2 linked regions of the Rhinolophus ferrumequinum genome follow. The protein of the gene in region 1 interacts with the protein of each later gene in a pairwise test. Links are inferred from orthologs where the notes say so. Each region holds a gene or a part of one and is shown in the gene's direction. Other genes may lie near its edges.

Region 1 (7,391 bases):
CAGGTGACCAGAGGTAGCCCTCCGTCAGGTTTCAATCATCTTGACTATCCCTCTGGATGAGGCAGCTGGGGCCATGACACGAGGAATACAAAGTCTGATAATAGCTGGTCCTTTGCCCTCCTCACCCTCCAGGAGCTCACATCCTCTGGTGGGGAGACAGTGGGAGAGTGATTACAACTCAGTGTGATAAAAGTTATGATAGGCAGCACAGGTATTTGGGGAGCAAAGAGAAAAGACATCTGAGTCAGCCTGGGACATCTGGGGAGGCTTCCTAGAGGAGGTGTCAGCAAAGGTTGGGTTTAGTCTTGGCTGACAGTAGGTGTGAAATAATCAAATAAATGGGATGCCTTCTGAGCAGCAGGACCAGCCCGATCCTAGAGCTCCCCATGGTACACTGAATGCCTATTACATGCCAGGCCTGGGCTGGGCACAGGGAATACAGGGCGAGGAGCACAAACTATGTGCCACAATGGAACAAACATGGAGCTGGGGAAGAGAATAACACAGAAGTGGAAAGATGGTGGTACCTTCTTTATTTATGGGGATCAAGAATGGTCTCTCTAGTGAAGTATGACATTTAAACCAAGACCTCAATGATAAGACGCTGGCGTTGAGTAGGGTGGTGAGTTGTGGAGAAGTGTTACAAGCAGAGGGAACAGCAGATACAAAATCTGGGACAGCAGCAAGGTCGTTATGGAACTGAAAAACTCACGTGGCCTCAAGCATCGTGGTCAGTAGTTCAAAGAGCTTTGATGAAGGGGGGGAAGTACTTTCCTCATTCTTGCCACTTCTCCCTGCACCCTCAACCTTTCTTTCTGCTTCTCTCATATGTCTTCTCACTGCTCCTTTGTCCTCTGCCCCCATCCCTCAGGCAAGCCAGGAAGCAGACAATGTTCTGATCCTGCAGGACAGGAAGCTGGTAACTGGACCAGGCAAACGGTATCTACAGGTGGCCAAGAACCGCTTTGATGGAGACGTAGGTGTCTTCCCGCTTGAGTTCAACAAGAGCTCTCTAACCTTCTCCATACCACCAAAGAGCAAGGCCCGGCTCAAGAAGATCAAGGATGACAATGGGCTAGTGGTTAAAAAGCCCTCTTCTAGCAAAAAGGGTGCTGTGTCCCAGAACTCTGAGACTTACTCGAGCAAGGCCCCCAACCCCTACCAGCCAGACCCCTCTAAGCCTTCAAGGTGAAGGCAGTACAGAGCTGGACACTGAAATAAGCCTGACAGGACAGGCTGGGGCATAGACTCTTTATTGGCCCTCTGCTAGGGCTGCCTCTGTCCTGTGGTCCTGAGCTACGGGCTCTTCTCAGTCTGAGGGACCTAGCCTAGGGCAGGGTCCCATAGTGAGAGAATTCAATTTAGCAAATATTTGAGAACCTACTGTGTGCCAGGTTTTGTTCTAGGTCCTAGGAATATAGCACTGACAAGACAGATGAGGTCCCTGCTTCCATGGAACTTAAAATTTGGTGTGGGGACAAGTAAGCTAATGAACAAATAAATACAAAACACACTTTTAGATAATGAAAAATGCTATTCAAAAAATAAAATAGTCATGGGATAGTACTTACAGGCTAGTTTAGATTAAGGTCTGAAAAGTTGTCTCTGAGCAGAGGACATTTGAGCCCGGGCCTAAAGAACTAGTATTGAGCCACGTGAACATCTGGAGAAAGAGGGATCTAGGCGGAAGGAAAGGTAAATACAGAGGCCCTGAGGTGGGAATGAGCAAGTTGAGTTCAGAGTAGTGGGGTCAGGCCCCCTGAACCTGGAGGAGAATAGGGGACTTCTGGCCAAAATTCCAGCATAGGCTTTCCGAGCCGAAGGGCGACATGGTAGGTACCAAACTCCTCCGCTCCAGTCGAGCCTGCTGTGTGGTGGCACTCACTACCATTGGATCCTAGGTGCTTAGCCCTGTAATATTAGGGCCCCAAAGGTGGAAGCTTGGCCAGAGAGCCATGGAAAGAAGCTGTGAACCTAGCGTGCCTGCCACCTGGACACATTGTATGGTATGCTGCCTCAGACCGCTGCAGTGGATGCAGTCATAATTTTTTGTAGAGCCTTTTGAAGTTTTACTAAAATAAATTTTCCATTGCTTTTGTTTCTGTGCTGTTTCTTATTTGTCCACCAGGTGTCTCCCCAGTCTATAACGATTTTCCTCTGAATTGGGATAGGTCCCCTCCCCCACCCCAGTCTTTGAGCTCCGCTCCCAAGGAAGCAAGAGCATTAAAGGGCCTTTACATGCACACACCCTTGACACCTCTTCTTGGCCAGGGGAAGACATGATGGTGTCTCTTTATCCCTGTTTTCCTTGAGGATCTCCATGTGATCTCTGGCAGAGATGTGAGTCACCTGGCCACTTACCTAAGCTCAGCCTGACAAGCTGTCCCTCTGTGATAATAAGCCACGAACTGACCTCTTGCAATGTGGACTCAGGCTTAGCATATTCTTACCTGGCCCCCGTCCACTTCCCTCCTCCTGTACCCTCAGTGTTTCTCTTATGTTAGTGTGTGTCAGAACTCCTAGGACTCTTGTTTTAAAAAGAAGAACATAGGCCCAATTTGCCCCAATCCTCACAGATTTCGAATTCTGGAGGTTCAAGGAGAGACATAGGATTCCTCGTTTTCAACAAGTCCTGAGGGAGATGAGAAAATAAGTTACACAGAGACCCTGTCGGAAATATTCCTAGATGATGAGACTTTCATCTCACTTCCTCTAATATCCTAAAATCCCAGTTTCCCTTTAGATTTGCCTGCAAGAGTGGTAAGAATGCAAGAGGGGCCTAGGGAGAAGCCTTTTGTAAGGGTGGCGGTTGGTTCCCTGCTCCTTGGAAGCAAGGCTGCCTTATCAAGATCTCCCCGTCAACCCAAGAGGGGTTTCTAGGACCCTGCAGAAGGGTCTGGGGTCGCTGTCTTTTATGTGTGAGAACCTTGACTACAATTGGCTCCTGAAACAGACCTGGAGCTAAGCTGTTTGGGGGGAGAACCTGGGGGAAGGGAGGGGAAAGCTCCTGGAGGGCCTCCCTTCTTGGGGGTCTCTCCCAGACTGGCTGGAGCCAGGCCTCCTAATCCCCGCAATAATCATTCCCAGCCGCTGGCTGGTCTAAGCCTCATCCAGGGTCTGTAACATTGAACGTCAGCCATGCCTTCCAGATGCACACCACTAGGTCAGTCCTAACCTATAAAGACGTGGGTTCCACATTCTCGTCTTCCTAGAATGTTTTGTGTGTTCTCAGGAAATCCTTTAGGGGTTTCCATTAAGGGAACTTTGTGAGGTGTCTGTGAATTGGGGATAGAGGGATAGATACACACTTGCCTGTTTGTCTTGCCCCATCCTCCTAGCAGACACCCCACACAATATAAACCAGAATGATGGGGGGAGGGGAAGTTAATGCTCCCCCTGCCCTACGCCCTATACAAATACATTCCACTCCACACCTGTCTTTATTCACATCAAGATGAGCCCAAAATGTGTTCAGGAGTACCTGGAACCTAGAAAGCAATGAGGGATCCCTGAGTCCTGTGTAAGGGCCCTGGGAGCCACTGACCCTGGACATTGCCAAAGTGGATTGAGGCAAAGTACTCTGCTTACGTCCAACTGCATGTTAAGAATCTCCCTGAGAGCTCAGGAAGGGCCTGGCCAAGCAGGGGCCAGCTGGATCTCAGATTCAGCTGTGAGGGCTGCTTTGGTCCTCCAGTAGCTTCTTTACTGCGGTTGGGTTTGAGAAGGAACTAAATTCACTGGACTTATGCTGCCCAAGTACTCCGGCTGTAAATACGGCCCAGATACCTGTAGACATCATATGCTGCCTTGCGTTTCTTGGAGGGAGGGAGCTCTAGGTGCCTCCCTGCAATGCAGGCCTACTTCCTGTTTGTGCCTGTGGGTGGAACTTTATGAGTCTAAGGGAAGCCAGGCCATGCTCTGTGGGGGGCCAGAACTGGTAGGTCTGCTCACCTGGCAGACACTACTTCAGGGGAGAGTGAGGTGTGGGGGCACGCGGAGCCGGGGTGGGAGGGAGGAGGGGACAGAGGGGCGGGTCTGTTTTGGTGAAACCCGAGCCTTCTTTGTCTGCTTCCCAGGGGTTTTCCCGGCGTCTGGGGAGTGGGCTGAGAGTGGACCAGGTTTGGCTCCCTCCAGAGCAGGGGAGGTGGCAGAAAAAGTCTTATAGCCAGCTTGGTTAGGGCAGCCAGGTGGGTAGCTTAGCTGTCGGTCACGTGCCGCTCGCCCCTTCCCCAGGTCGAAAGCCAGATCCTGTAAGCTGTGAAGTCAGAGACCAGAGGGCAGCCTCGGGTCACCGTGGAGCTACTGCGGGGTTTGGTACCGGCTTGGCCGTTGAGTGGGTGCTGAGCAGACCACTCCTTTCCCTCGGTTGGGGGCGCGGCCTCAGCGGCCCCGCCCCTCTCCACCAGGCCGGGCCTGGCGGGCGCTGCGAGTCCGGAGCCCGAAGCGGGCTTGGGAGCCGGCGGATCTGCATCGAGGAGGTGCCCGCACTGGAGCAGGAGGAGCCAGGCAGGAGCTGAAGCAGCGGCGCAGGTGGTGCTGGGTGAGTAGTGGGGGCGCAAAGGTGTAGGAACTCCCGCCTCCCGCACAACTCCGCTCCGGATTAAACTTTGCGGTCTGGCGAAACTGGGGGTTAGGATGGGAGTGGGGGGGGGTCCCTGAACAGGGGACCGACGCGGAAATTCACACCGACGGGCCCACACACGCGTGCACACACACCCACTCACGCACTTGGGACACACAAACACACGTGCACCCAGGAAAGGACGCGCCCAGTGAGTTACTCTTGTAGCCCGTGGAGCAGCGCCACTGGCTGGCGCAGACCCCCAGCGGGCACGGCGCTTGACAGGGGCGGGAGAAAAGTGCAGACAGGGGCGAGGCGGGCGAGACACCGCGGGCTGTTCCTGCTTCCCCGCCGCCGGCAGGTGAGGACTAATATGCAAACAGGCGCCGAGCCCCGGATCGCTTCGCAGACGGGTGGGTTGTGCTTCCCCCACCCCGGCCTCAGGGCGAAGACCTCCCTTGCTAGTCCAGGGCGAGTTTGCGAGGTCCCACAGGGGGCTGTATTCCATTCTCCGCTTCGAGAGGTGATAAGCCCTCCCCCAGAAATGGGAGCACAACGCCCCCTGGAATGGGGTAGCACCGGCGTACCGGAGACTGTTGGACTGGGGTGGGGTTACCTGGTGTCCTCGCCCTTCTCCTGAACACATTCGTGGTTCCCCATCCCTGAAGGTATCAGAGGGGGGCGCTATTCTTGATAGCAGTGGACGGCAGCTCCTACCCCATTCCTCCGGCCTGGGGAGCAGCAACCGTAGCTACATGAGCGCCTGTCGTTCTCCTTGCTAATACCACCCCTCCTTGCAGAACTAGGAGCTCCTCCCCCCCCAAGGTAGGAGCAGAAAACGCACTCATGCAAGAGTGGGAGTCCTCCACCCCAAGAGAATTCAGGACCTCCTTTTCAGTACCAGACTGGGCCTATGCCCCTCCGGTAGAAAGGAGGACGAACCCCATCCCCTCATCCCACCTCACTAGTAAGGGAGTGGGCAGCGGCCCTCGGCCTCCCTCCCCTCCCCACCCCCCACTTCTGCGCGCGCGCGCGCGCGCGCACACGCGCGCGCACACACACACACACACACACACACACACACACACACACACACGTTGAGCCCAGCTGCTGCCCGAGCTTCTGGGCAGTTTGCCAGAAAGGGGAGGAGGCTCCTAGTGCCCCAGGAGGCTGGGATCAGGGCAAGGCCAGAAGAGGGGTCTCTCTCTACCGGAGAGAGGGGCTCCGTCTGTTGTTGTGAGGCTGAGGGTTTGAAACGGGGTGAGCCTGAGGGTGGCTGGGCTATGTTTCCCTTTCCAGGGAGAAAGAAAGAAAAACAACCCTTTCCATAGAGCTAAAAATAGAGCTGAGAGCCGGCCAGGGCTGTGGCCTGGAAGGGGGGGATGCTCCTTCCCTGGGCAGAGGAGCTCTGGCAGGCCTGGGCGGGGGTTAGGGGGCGGGTGGCTGTCCTTGCCCAGGGGTGCTCCATCAGCCGACCTGACCAGTTCACATAAACCCCCACGGAAAGTCTGTATGGTAGAATGTTTGAGCAATATGTGTATGTGTAAAAAGTTGTGTGTGAATAAGACTGTCAATGTGTGAAACATGCTTAGACTAAGTGTGTTTATTAATATTGTGACTGCGTGTGAAGGACTGTGAGTTGTGAAAGTATGCACAACTAGGCGTGTGACACCGAGTGTGTTGTGTCTCTCTCTGTAAGTTGTTGGCTTGAAAGATGGAAAGAAGGAACATGGAACCACGTGATGGATGAGACTGATTGTGGCTGTGTGAAACTGAATGTGGGAAAGGTCGTGTGGGTGTTAAGGTTGTGTTTGCCAGAGGGTGAGAATATTCGTGTCCCTGAGAAGACAGTGGAATGTTGTCTGCTGTGAGGCTGCAGTAGGTTTGGATTGTAGATTTGGACAGGCTCACCCCAGTGATTGTTGAGGGGCCAGGGCCTTCATCTCTGAGCAATATCCTCTTTTATCAAATGACACTGAGGGAAGGTCGGGGAGCACAGGGCCGCGCCTGCTGCAGCCCTGGGCTCCAGGAGGAGGGGGATACAGCGCTGGGGAGTCAGGTAGGACTCCCCGCTCGAGGTCGGGATTTGGGGGGTAACTGGGCGTGTTCTCCGAATCCGCCGCCAGGTGGCGCCGCCTCCGCAAATCCAAGTGTGCGGCCTCCAAGACGCTGGGGGTGGGGCAAGCACGGACCGAGCCTTGGCCCCTGACGTGTGCTGGGGGGGAGCGGGCTCTGGGCCCGGGCCGCGGGCTAGAGTGAATGGCAGCTGGCCTTCGGCCTCCCACTCTGGACTCCGAAGCCGGAGAGTGTCTGTGAGGGAGGCTTCAACTAGAAGAACGGAGGGGGTAGGGCGGCCGCCACGGCGCCAGGCCCTTTGTGCTCCAACAATGACCAGCCGCCACTGGCCCCGGGGCCCCGGTTGGAGTAGAGGGTGACCTGCTGCCGCCACCGAGTCCTGAGCCGACCGAACTCCGCAGACACACAGCCACCGGCCTGGGAGGGAGGGATCCTGAGTCCGGCTGTGCAGCGCCAGCGTGCGCCCCGCGGGACACGCGTGACGCGGGGTGCTTGCGCGTGCCCGCGCCCCGGGGGCGGGGACGCCCCTGGGACCCCTCCCCCGCGCTGCACCGCCCACTTGGGCCGGGCGGGGTCTGCCCCGCGAGGGGCGCCGCGGAGGCGGGGCCGGGTCCGGCCGGGCCGCTCCGAGTGGCCGCGCGGGCTGGAGCCGGGCGGCTCGCCGGTGGAGCGCGGGGGGCGGCCCGGGGCTGAGCATGGAGCAGCGCGGTGGAGGTGAGGGGGGCCGGGGCGGGGAGGCGACCTGGGGGTGTCC
Region 2 (7,940 bases), on another chromosome or scaffold:
TTGCTAGAACCCTTGGGAAATCTCTGAACTTCAGCTCTTCCTTGTTCATCAACAGCCTGCAGTTCACACTTACTGACTTTTAAGGAATTATTTGAATTCTCCAGAACATAGTACTTGTTAATAGGATTCTAGTTCCTGTGGAAGTAACCTCACACTTAAATATTTGGTTTTTCTCTTTAGGGCTGAAAACATTACCCTCACAAAGTGAAATGTTAAGAGATATAACTGAGGCTCAAGAGAAAATTGACAAAAGGTAAGAAATTCTCCCAGGAAAGTAGGTGCTTACTTTCTCTACTCACTTAGTTCTTAATAAAAGCAATAGTGTACTGTATTTATCTTTCTCATGTTAGTTTTCAGGATTTAGGTTATATTCTGAAGAAAAAGGAAATAATAGTTTGTGACAAGAGAATGGAGAAATAGCACCGAGAGGTTTGTTATAGGTGAGAAAGAAGAGACAAGCTGAAGAAAAGTGTTTAAAATCCTATGTTTAGGGCCTGAAAGAAAAGTCCTGTAGGAAAACGCACATGGGGAGAAAATCAGGTATATTGTTTTTGCAAGGATTGCTTCAAGTGCTAGTAGAGCTGCCACAAGAAGGAAGAGCGGCAATGAACTACTGCGCGCAGACATGGTCGAATTCCAAACCGCAAGTAGATTTACAAATCTGCAGAGGCCACTGGGCAGGCTGTCGCCAGGGGACAGCATGCTCAGGTCACAGTGCCTCATGGTATGAACAGCCTGCATGATCAGGGAAGGTGGTACGTCGCCGAGTGCTTAGTGCTTGGGTGACACAGTCATTTAGCATCTGAACTTCACTGGGTGACTTTTCTTTAGACAAAGTGGGAGCTAATGGCAGGTGCCTAAACCTTTGTGGGCAAGTCAGAGGCAGGATCATTGCAGGTTCAGAGAGGTGGTTTTCTTCAATTGATTGTACTGGCGCAACTGTCCCCTGCCTCGGAGGAGGAGAGCGTTTTTATTCCACCCTGATATCCTTGCCAGGTGCTCTCCTAGTTTTTCCTTCCTTCCACTGCCGAACTTCTGCATCCATATTCTACCTGATATGCTCTAAAGTCTCAGCCTTTTCTCCCTCCTAAGCTCCCTGCACTGTAACTTCCGTCCTTGCTCCTGCAACCACTCTCTTCTGGAATGCTTTCTTTCTTTGCTTTCCTGGCAATGAAATACCCTATTTCAACTTTCCCTCTCTTCAGACGTTTGTCTAGCCACCTTCAGACTGAGCTGTCCCTAAGGATATCATTGAGCCTTTATGAAGGGTTAATTATGTACTTACACATAACGTTTTATACGTGTGAGTTTATTGAATCTTTGTGACACCTTCATGACGGGGACAGCGTTTCACCCAGTACCATAGGGTAACTGCATGCCTACCAACCTTTGGGCCGGCATCACATCCACAAGGGGGAGCTCTCAAATTCTGTCCTATCTTCTTTCTTCTAAACTGTAGTTCCATTTCAATAAATTCCTCTTTGACCTTCTTTCAGTTCCATTTCACCTGTTCTACCTCAAATTTACAGTCGCTCACCTTTTCCTGTCTGTTTTGGATTCTCCTAATCCGAGGAAGCCCTTCTAATCTCAATTAACTTGACCTGGCTTTCCTCTTACTACCTTTCTGTCCCGCTGTTCTTTCTTTCATTTTCAGAATAGAAAGGAAAACGAGGAGGTTATCAGGTAGCTTTCCGAATCCCACTCCTTCCACACAAGTATTGCTATTACCACTCTTCCCCTCTAAAAAGCCCTGTTAGCTCTTCAGATCTATACTTAGTGTCATCAGTCATTCCATTTGGCTCCATTGGGAGGGGGGTAAGTCATTCTCACCCCCTCCTTTCCAGATTCTGAATTAACATTGGGAAGTCCTGCACTGTGGACCCCACCACCACTGCCCTCATAAAACAATTGAGGGTCCCAAACTTCAGAATTTTGTGGTGGGTTCTCTCGTTCTGATAATATCCAAGTCCTCTGGATATGGATCTGCTGTCCTTGCGTCTCTGTATATATCCTTGTTTTCCACAGCACGCCTCTGCTACTGTAGGTGGTGCCTACAGATATTCTATACGCAATTTTTACACTCATTCCTATTTTATTCCTTCACTCTGATGGTCCCCTGACTTGTGACATATTCCTCTTTGTTCTCAGTTTATCTATATCTTCCACATCCTTCAAGCTCTCTTTTAACTACCCTCTTCTACATTTCTATTTAACAGTCTGAAACCACATGATTTGCCAAAAGTCATATATTCTTCTGTTTCATTTGTATCTATCCTATTTCCTCCGATAGATTACAAAGTCATAAAGGACAAAGTCTTATTTTCTTCTCTATTTTCCATAGGCTCCTAGTCTAATATTGATCCAATAACAGGTACTCAGAAAGCACTGCTAGATTGATTGATTGATTGATTGACTGACTGACTGTTGACAGCCACGGCTCCTGTCTTGTCTGCTTCAGGTATTTGGAGAGCCAACGCCACACCATTCAGACAGACTTTATAGATACCACGGTGGAACTTGCTGATCTGGTGGGCGTCAGACCCAACCTGCTGTCTCTGGCCTTCACCGACCCCAAGCTGGCATTACAGTTATTATTGGGACCCTACACTCCAATCCAGTATCGTCTACAGGGCCCGGGAAAGTGGGATGGAGCCCGAAAAGCCATCCTCACCATAGACGAGCGTATCAGGAAGCCTATGATGACCAGACAAGTTAAGAGCAGTGGTTCCATGATTTCAGCATTAACGATGGCCTGGTTCATGCTCGCTGTGGTTTTTTTTGCCATAATTATAACCTATTTTTAGCAGTTCCACTGTCGTTGCCCCGGTTTTCTTTGGGGAGCTGGATCGAGAGATGCCTCCAGGACAACTCTTAGCTTCACATTGCCCAGAAATCTACTTTTATTTCTCTTTCCAACGCATTAATCCTCTTTTCTCTTTTCCCTACAATGAAATCCCAGCTTTTCATTCAAAATGGATTAAAGACGAATCTAAGACCTGAAAGCATAAAACTCCTAGAAGAAAACATTGGGGATAAATTCCTTGACATCAGTCTTGGTGATGATTTTTTGGATTTGACACCAAAAACAAAGGCCAACAAAAGCAAAAATAAACAAGTGGGACTACATCAAACTAAAAAGGTTCTGCACAGCAAAGGAAACCATTATATGCCATTGGTTAAGAGATCTTGCTTCTTTGCCTAGACACTCCTATGTTTAAGGAAAAAACCCAAAAACTCGGTAGGTAGTAAGGAGAAGCAATCAATCCTTCCTACAGAATCAAGTTACTTGTGTCCTATGTCTAAACATGCAACACGCAGAGTTTACTGTGGACTGACTTCCAAGTGCTATTAGAGTCCAAGAATGTCATCGACAATCCCCTGACTAGAAAATGAACACTCTGAGAAGTCCTAAATTAAATTATAGCAGGCCCGAGGGTAGAAGAAAGAGACAAGAGAGGTTAATCAGTTAACAACTGCGGGGAAAATCATCGTAAGACTTGCTCGCATTCCTGAATGAATGTTACAACTCTGAGTTAACTTCCAGGTAGCTATTGCACAATTATCTAAAGAGAAGAGCCAGTAGCCCGCCACCAGCACAAGTGACCACCAGTGCCTCCATTACCTTGCTATGCATGACCTTTCCAGACTGTTGCCCACAACCGGTCCTCAAGAACAAACGCTTCTTCCTTACAGACTATGCACCTATCCCAGAACTAGGCCCTCTTCACTTTTTCCACACGCCCTTTATCCATAGCCAGTGCCAATTCTTTCAAAACAACTTTCGTCTTTGTTTTCTAAACCCGAGATATGAAGGATCCGTCAATGCCAGAAGTGCGTAGCCCTGCCGCTGCTGGTGCAGACAGCGCGCACCAGGACCCTGTCCTTTTCTGGCTGGCATCTGGTTCAATAAACGGTTTCTTTCAGAAAAGCTATTGGCCATGAAAGTTTTTTGTTTCCCACCCCCAAATCAGATAATCCAAAAATCATTTCTATTTAGTTTTACAAAAATAGTTTCTCTTCCTAACAAGTTTTCCATTGGCTAATATATATTGTGTATGCTTCTCCCCTGGTGATTTGACTACTGTAAGGAAATATGTACCAGAGACATATTATTTGGCCCGGAGAGACCAACCTGGAGTTAGAAAGCTGAATAGTACATTAGTTAAGGTTTAATGTGTTATTCCTTCAAAGGCCTTGATTCAGAGTCCTATGGAAAGAATGACAGGAATTGGGGAGGGCAGGGAGTTCACCAAAAGGAAGTAACCAGACAGTCAAGATTCTGTTTTTAGTCTGCAAACTGTCTTTGGTTAAGAGCCAGAAAACAACAGTTTATTTGGGGCTGAGCATAGATCAAAGGGGAAGGAGTGGATTTGTTGGACTTAAGTGGGTGGGTTTTCAACTTAATATAATAATGAACTTTTCAATAAATAGAGTGGCTCATTCCGGAAGGGTGGCTTTGATGGAGTTCGCCATCACCGGCTGTGTTTAAGCCTAAGTGGCATTCTTGTGAGAAATATAATAATCAGTATTCACGTACCCTTCAGTCCGCAAATGTGTATTAAAGTTCACTCTGTCCAAGGTGCATACAGAATACGAAGAGGAATCAAATGGAGTCCTCTCTGCCAGTGTCAACGCAGTGCTTCTTACACTTTACCAGGCACACACCTTCCTCTGAGGACCTTGTAAAGTGCAGATTCTTATTCTGTAGGATGGGGCCAGGTTTTGCACTTCTAACAAGTTCCCAGGTGATGCCTGTGCTGCCAGTCCCTGAAACACACGTTGAGTGCCAAGGATTTCGTGGAGGGAATGAGACATAGAATCGTAACACAAAGTAAGAATTGGTAAATGCCACTAACTGGTAAAGTTCCATTAATCATCAGTAAAAGCTGGGATTTGTCCCAAACCCAGGTCTGTCTTCCCCCTTTTCTGCCCTCAGAGTTCCTTCTGATGTTTTTGTTCCTGCACTCTTTCTTGAATTTCATTTCTTCCGGGTTCGTTAATTGATATGCCATTTCTTAGAATAGCTTTCTCCTCTTCAGAGTAACATTTTACTAATTTATCAAGGTTTATTTCGTAACCACTCCATCTTCCCTGGGGCCCCAGTCGCGGCTGACAGCTCCCTACACCACTTAATTTTAGCCTGGACCAATCCTTCTGCGTCAGTGGAAAGTCCGTTTTCCTATCCCCCCCGGACACCACCTCTCCGGGGCGACTGCCACAAAGACGCTGTCCAGAAAATGTTTTGGCGAAGCTGAGCCCAGGTGAGGGGGCCCGAGAAGAAAACCCCGCTCCTCGGGGTACAGAGCACCGGTGCCTGGCTGGCGGTCCCCAATGTCATTCGGGAACCGTGTGATCCGCGCGGCAGGCCCGGGAGCTCCGCGCACTGACGTTGCCCGGTGCAGTGTCGCCGGGCGGGCTGTCCGGGTGCAGCCAGTCCCCAGCGGACGGGCGGGAGCCCCCGCCGAGCACGGAAGGCCGCCCACGACCGCCTACCATGGAGGCGGCGGCGGCTAGAGAGGCCGGCGGGCCGGGCAGCTGCGCGGCGGGGCCGCAGGGAAGGCGCGCGGGGCGGGACCGCACAGCCGGCCTTGTAGCCATTTTAGGAGGAAACCCGGCTCCCTAGCTCCGCGCGTGGCTTCAATTTCAATAACTTTATTGGTGGCCTTAGCCGCAGAGCATCCATCGCGCCTGTGGCCCGGGGAGGAGGGAGCGCGTCTCAGGAGGTGATGGGGTGGGGGCGTGAGCGCTGGGATGCAGGGGAGTTCCCGAAAGCGGGTTTCCTGAGCAGCGGGCAGGGAGGGGGTTCGGGGCGCTCCTGGAGGCCGGGGAGGGAGGGCACCCACGGGCACGGCTTCCCTGCGGCGGGGATTCCGTTGCCCGTGTCCCCAGGCGCAGGGGTGGGGCTGCGCGCGCCCCTGACGTGGCCGCAGGGGTGTTCCTCGCACGGTGCTTTTCCCCACGGCAGGTGGCCCCCGACACGAGCTGCAGCCATGGGAAACACCACCAGCGACCGGGTGGCCGGGGAGCGCCACGGCGCCAAGGCAGCACGCGCTGAGGGCACCGGCGGCCATGGCCCGGGCAAGGAGCACAAGATCATGGTGGGCAGCACGGACGACCCCAGCGTCTTCAGTCTGCAGGACTCCAAGGTGGGCGTCCCTTCGCCCCCCGTGGGTGGCGATGCTGCAGTGGGCGGGGCGTCAGGGCGCCTCCTCACTTTCTTAATTCTTACCACGCTGATCTGGGTGATGACTTTTTGAATTAAAGGGATTTGGGGGGGACGGAGATGTTGGATGGTAATTCCTCTCGCGGTACTGCCTCAAAATAGGGCGGAAGCGGGGTTCTTGTTTGCCGATTAATCTGTTGGACACATTTTTAAGAGGATAGCAGGATGCCAGCCCCCCACCTCGCCTCCCAATCTTTGGTTCTCCTGACAGGCACGGTGCCCTCTTCTACCGTACTGATGAATTTGTAGTGTCAGCGCTGCCGGAAAACTTTAGAGGTTTCCTGAGTTGCCGCCCATAGCTGGTGGTTTCTCACATTTGCCCTGAGGTGGGTAAATGAGGTTCTTTTTTCTCTCTGTGTCAGTATCATTTTTGCCCTTGTAGGAGCTCAGCACTTCTGACCGTCTTCACCTTGGTCTTGACTGTGAGGAACAATCACTTGCTTATTTGAATACTTCCTCCTAGTCTTGTACATCCATAAAGGACATCGCTGCTCAGTTTTTGTCCCATACTTTATAGCTGTGGTGCTGAGGTTGTGCTTCTTTCGTGCCCAGCTGCTCAAGTGGCAGAACAAATCATTCCAGGATTTCTCCAGTAGCCAGTAGTACCTCAGTATGTCACCAGGGCTGAAAGCGGGACAACCCACGCTGCCCCAAAGACCTTGTGCTGGCGTCCAAGGACTCTGAGCGGAGTGGCAACTTGTGGGCACTCTGTAGAAAGGGCAAACTGAGCTGACAGCACTGTGATTACCACCCAAATGCTTTTCTTATCACTTTTAGAGCTACAGCATTAAGTACGTTAAGGCTGACTGGGATGAATTAGAAAAACGGAGAGATTGAGGAGACGAGTATGTTTGATGTCCCCTATGCCTTCCCACGAAGTAAATGGAGCATGATTTGCCACGTTGGCAGCTCATGGAATTTGGTTGTTTATTTTCTTGGATCTCGACTGAGAACATAATCAGAAGTGAGAGTGATCAAAAGGACCATTTCTTGGGGTTTCTTCTCCCTTCCTTTCTCCTCCCACTTCAGGACGTCTTCCTCATCATGAGGGCTGTCCACCCACCCAGTACTTCTTCAGGGCTTTCTCAAGGTGACCTCCCTCACTGCATTTTCCCCCTTTTCCTACACTGATGACTCAGGATTTAAGGACAGTGTATTTGTCAAACTGTGACTGCAGTAAGTGGTGTACTGAATACAAGCCAGATTGCTTTATTGGAAATGGAACCTATTTGGGATGATTCTTTGCCTTACCTCAGTCTTGCCATTTGTGAAATCAGAAAACTATTTCTGATTGTTCCTAAGGTCTCTTCCAAATCTAAAATTTTACAGTTCTCAACCTTCCTACTGTCTTTACTTCAATATCAATGTTTCACTTAAACATCTCAAACTGTAGTTCGAATTTTCTCTTTTCCGAATGATTTTGCTGACTATTTAACTTGACATAAACAGCCTTTCTGCTAGTCATCTGCCCGCATGCCGACCACAGAAATGTCACATGTGGAAGGGCTTTCTTCCAAACTAGGCATATTAATAGTTTGTAGCTTTCAAATTCTAAACCGGAAATCCTAAATCATAAAAGTAACTGGCAGTGGGGCCACCTTCTTCTGTTCCCAGTCCAATTTGCACATTAAAATCACCTGAAATTTGCTTAAACACTTTATGGATAAAAGGAAACATTTTCCATGTTTCAAACCAGGAAAACAGTGTACTGAAGTCC

The links. The genes of interacting proteins can lie anywhere in the genome.
Region 2: the proteins of LZTS2 (region 1) and PRKAB2 interact in binary tests that used the Homo sapiens proteins (3 or more experiments, as listed by UniProt). The link is inferred for Rhinolophus ferrumequinum from reciprocal best matches to the Homo sapiens genes LZTS2 and PRKAB2.

The regions. Positions count from the first base shown.
Region 1 is NC_046299.1:23,693,846-23,701,236, reverse strand, and holds the start of LZTS2 (leucine zipper putative tumor suppressor 2), read left to right. Parts: upstream 1-4,387; 5' UTR 4,388-4,540; intron 4,541-7,230; exon of another isoform or gene 7,231-7,351; intron 7,352-7,391. Other genes in the region: TWNK (twinkle mtDNA helicase), read left to right, coding at 872-1,192. UniProt on the Homo sapiens protein: Negative regulator of katanin-mediated microtubule severing and release from the centrosome. Required for central spindle formation and the completion of cytokinesis.
Region 2 is NC_046305.1:49,426,667-49,434,606, reverse strand, and holds the start of PRKAB2 (5'-AMP-activated protein kinase subunit beta-2), read left to right. Parts: upstream 1-4,925; 5' UTR 4,926-5,261; intron 5,262-5,593; exon of another isoform or gene 5,594-5,723; intron 5,724-5,965; 5' UTR 5,966-5,990; coding exon 5,991-6,146; intron 6,147-7,940. UniProt on the Homo sapiens protein: Non-catalytic subunit of AMP-activated protein kinase (AMPK), an energy sensor protein kinase that plays a key role in regulating cellular energy metabolism.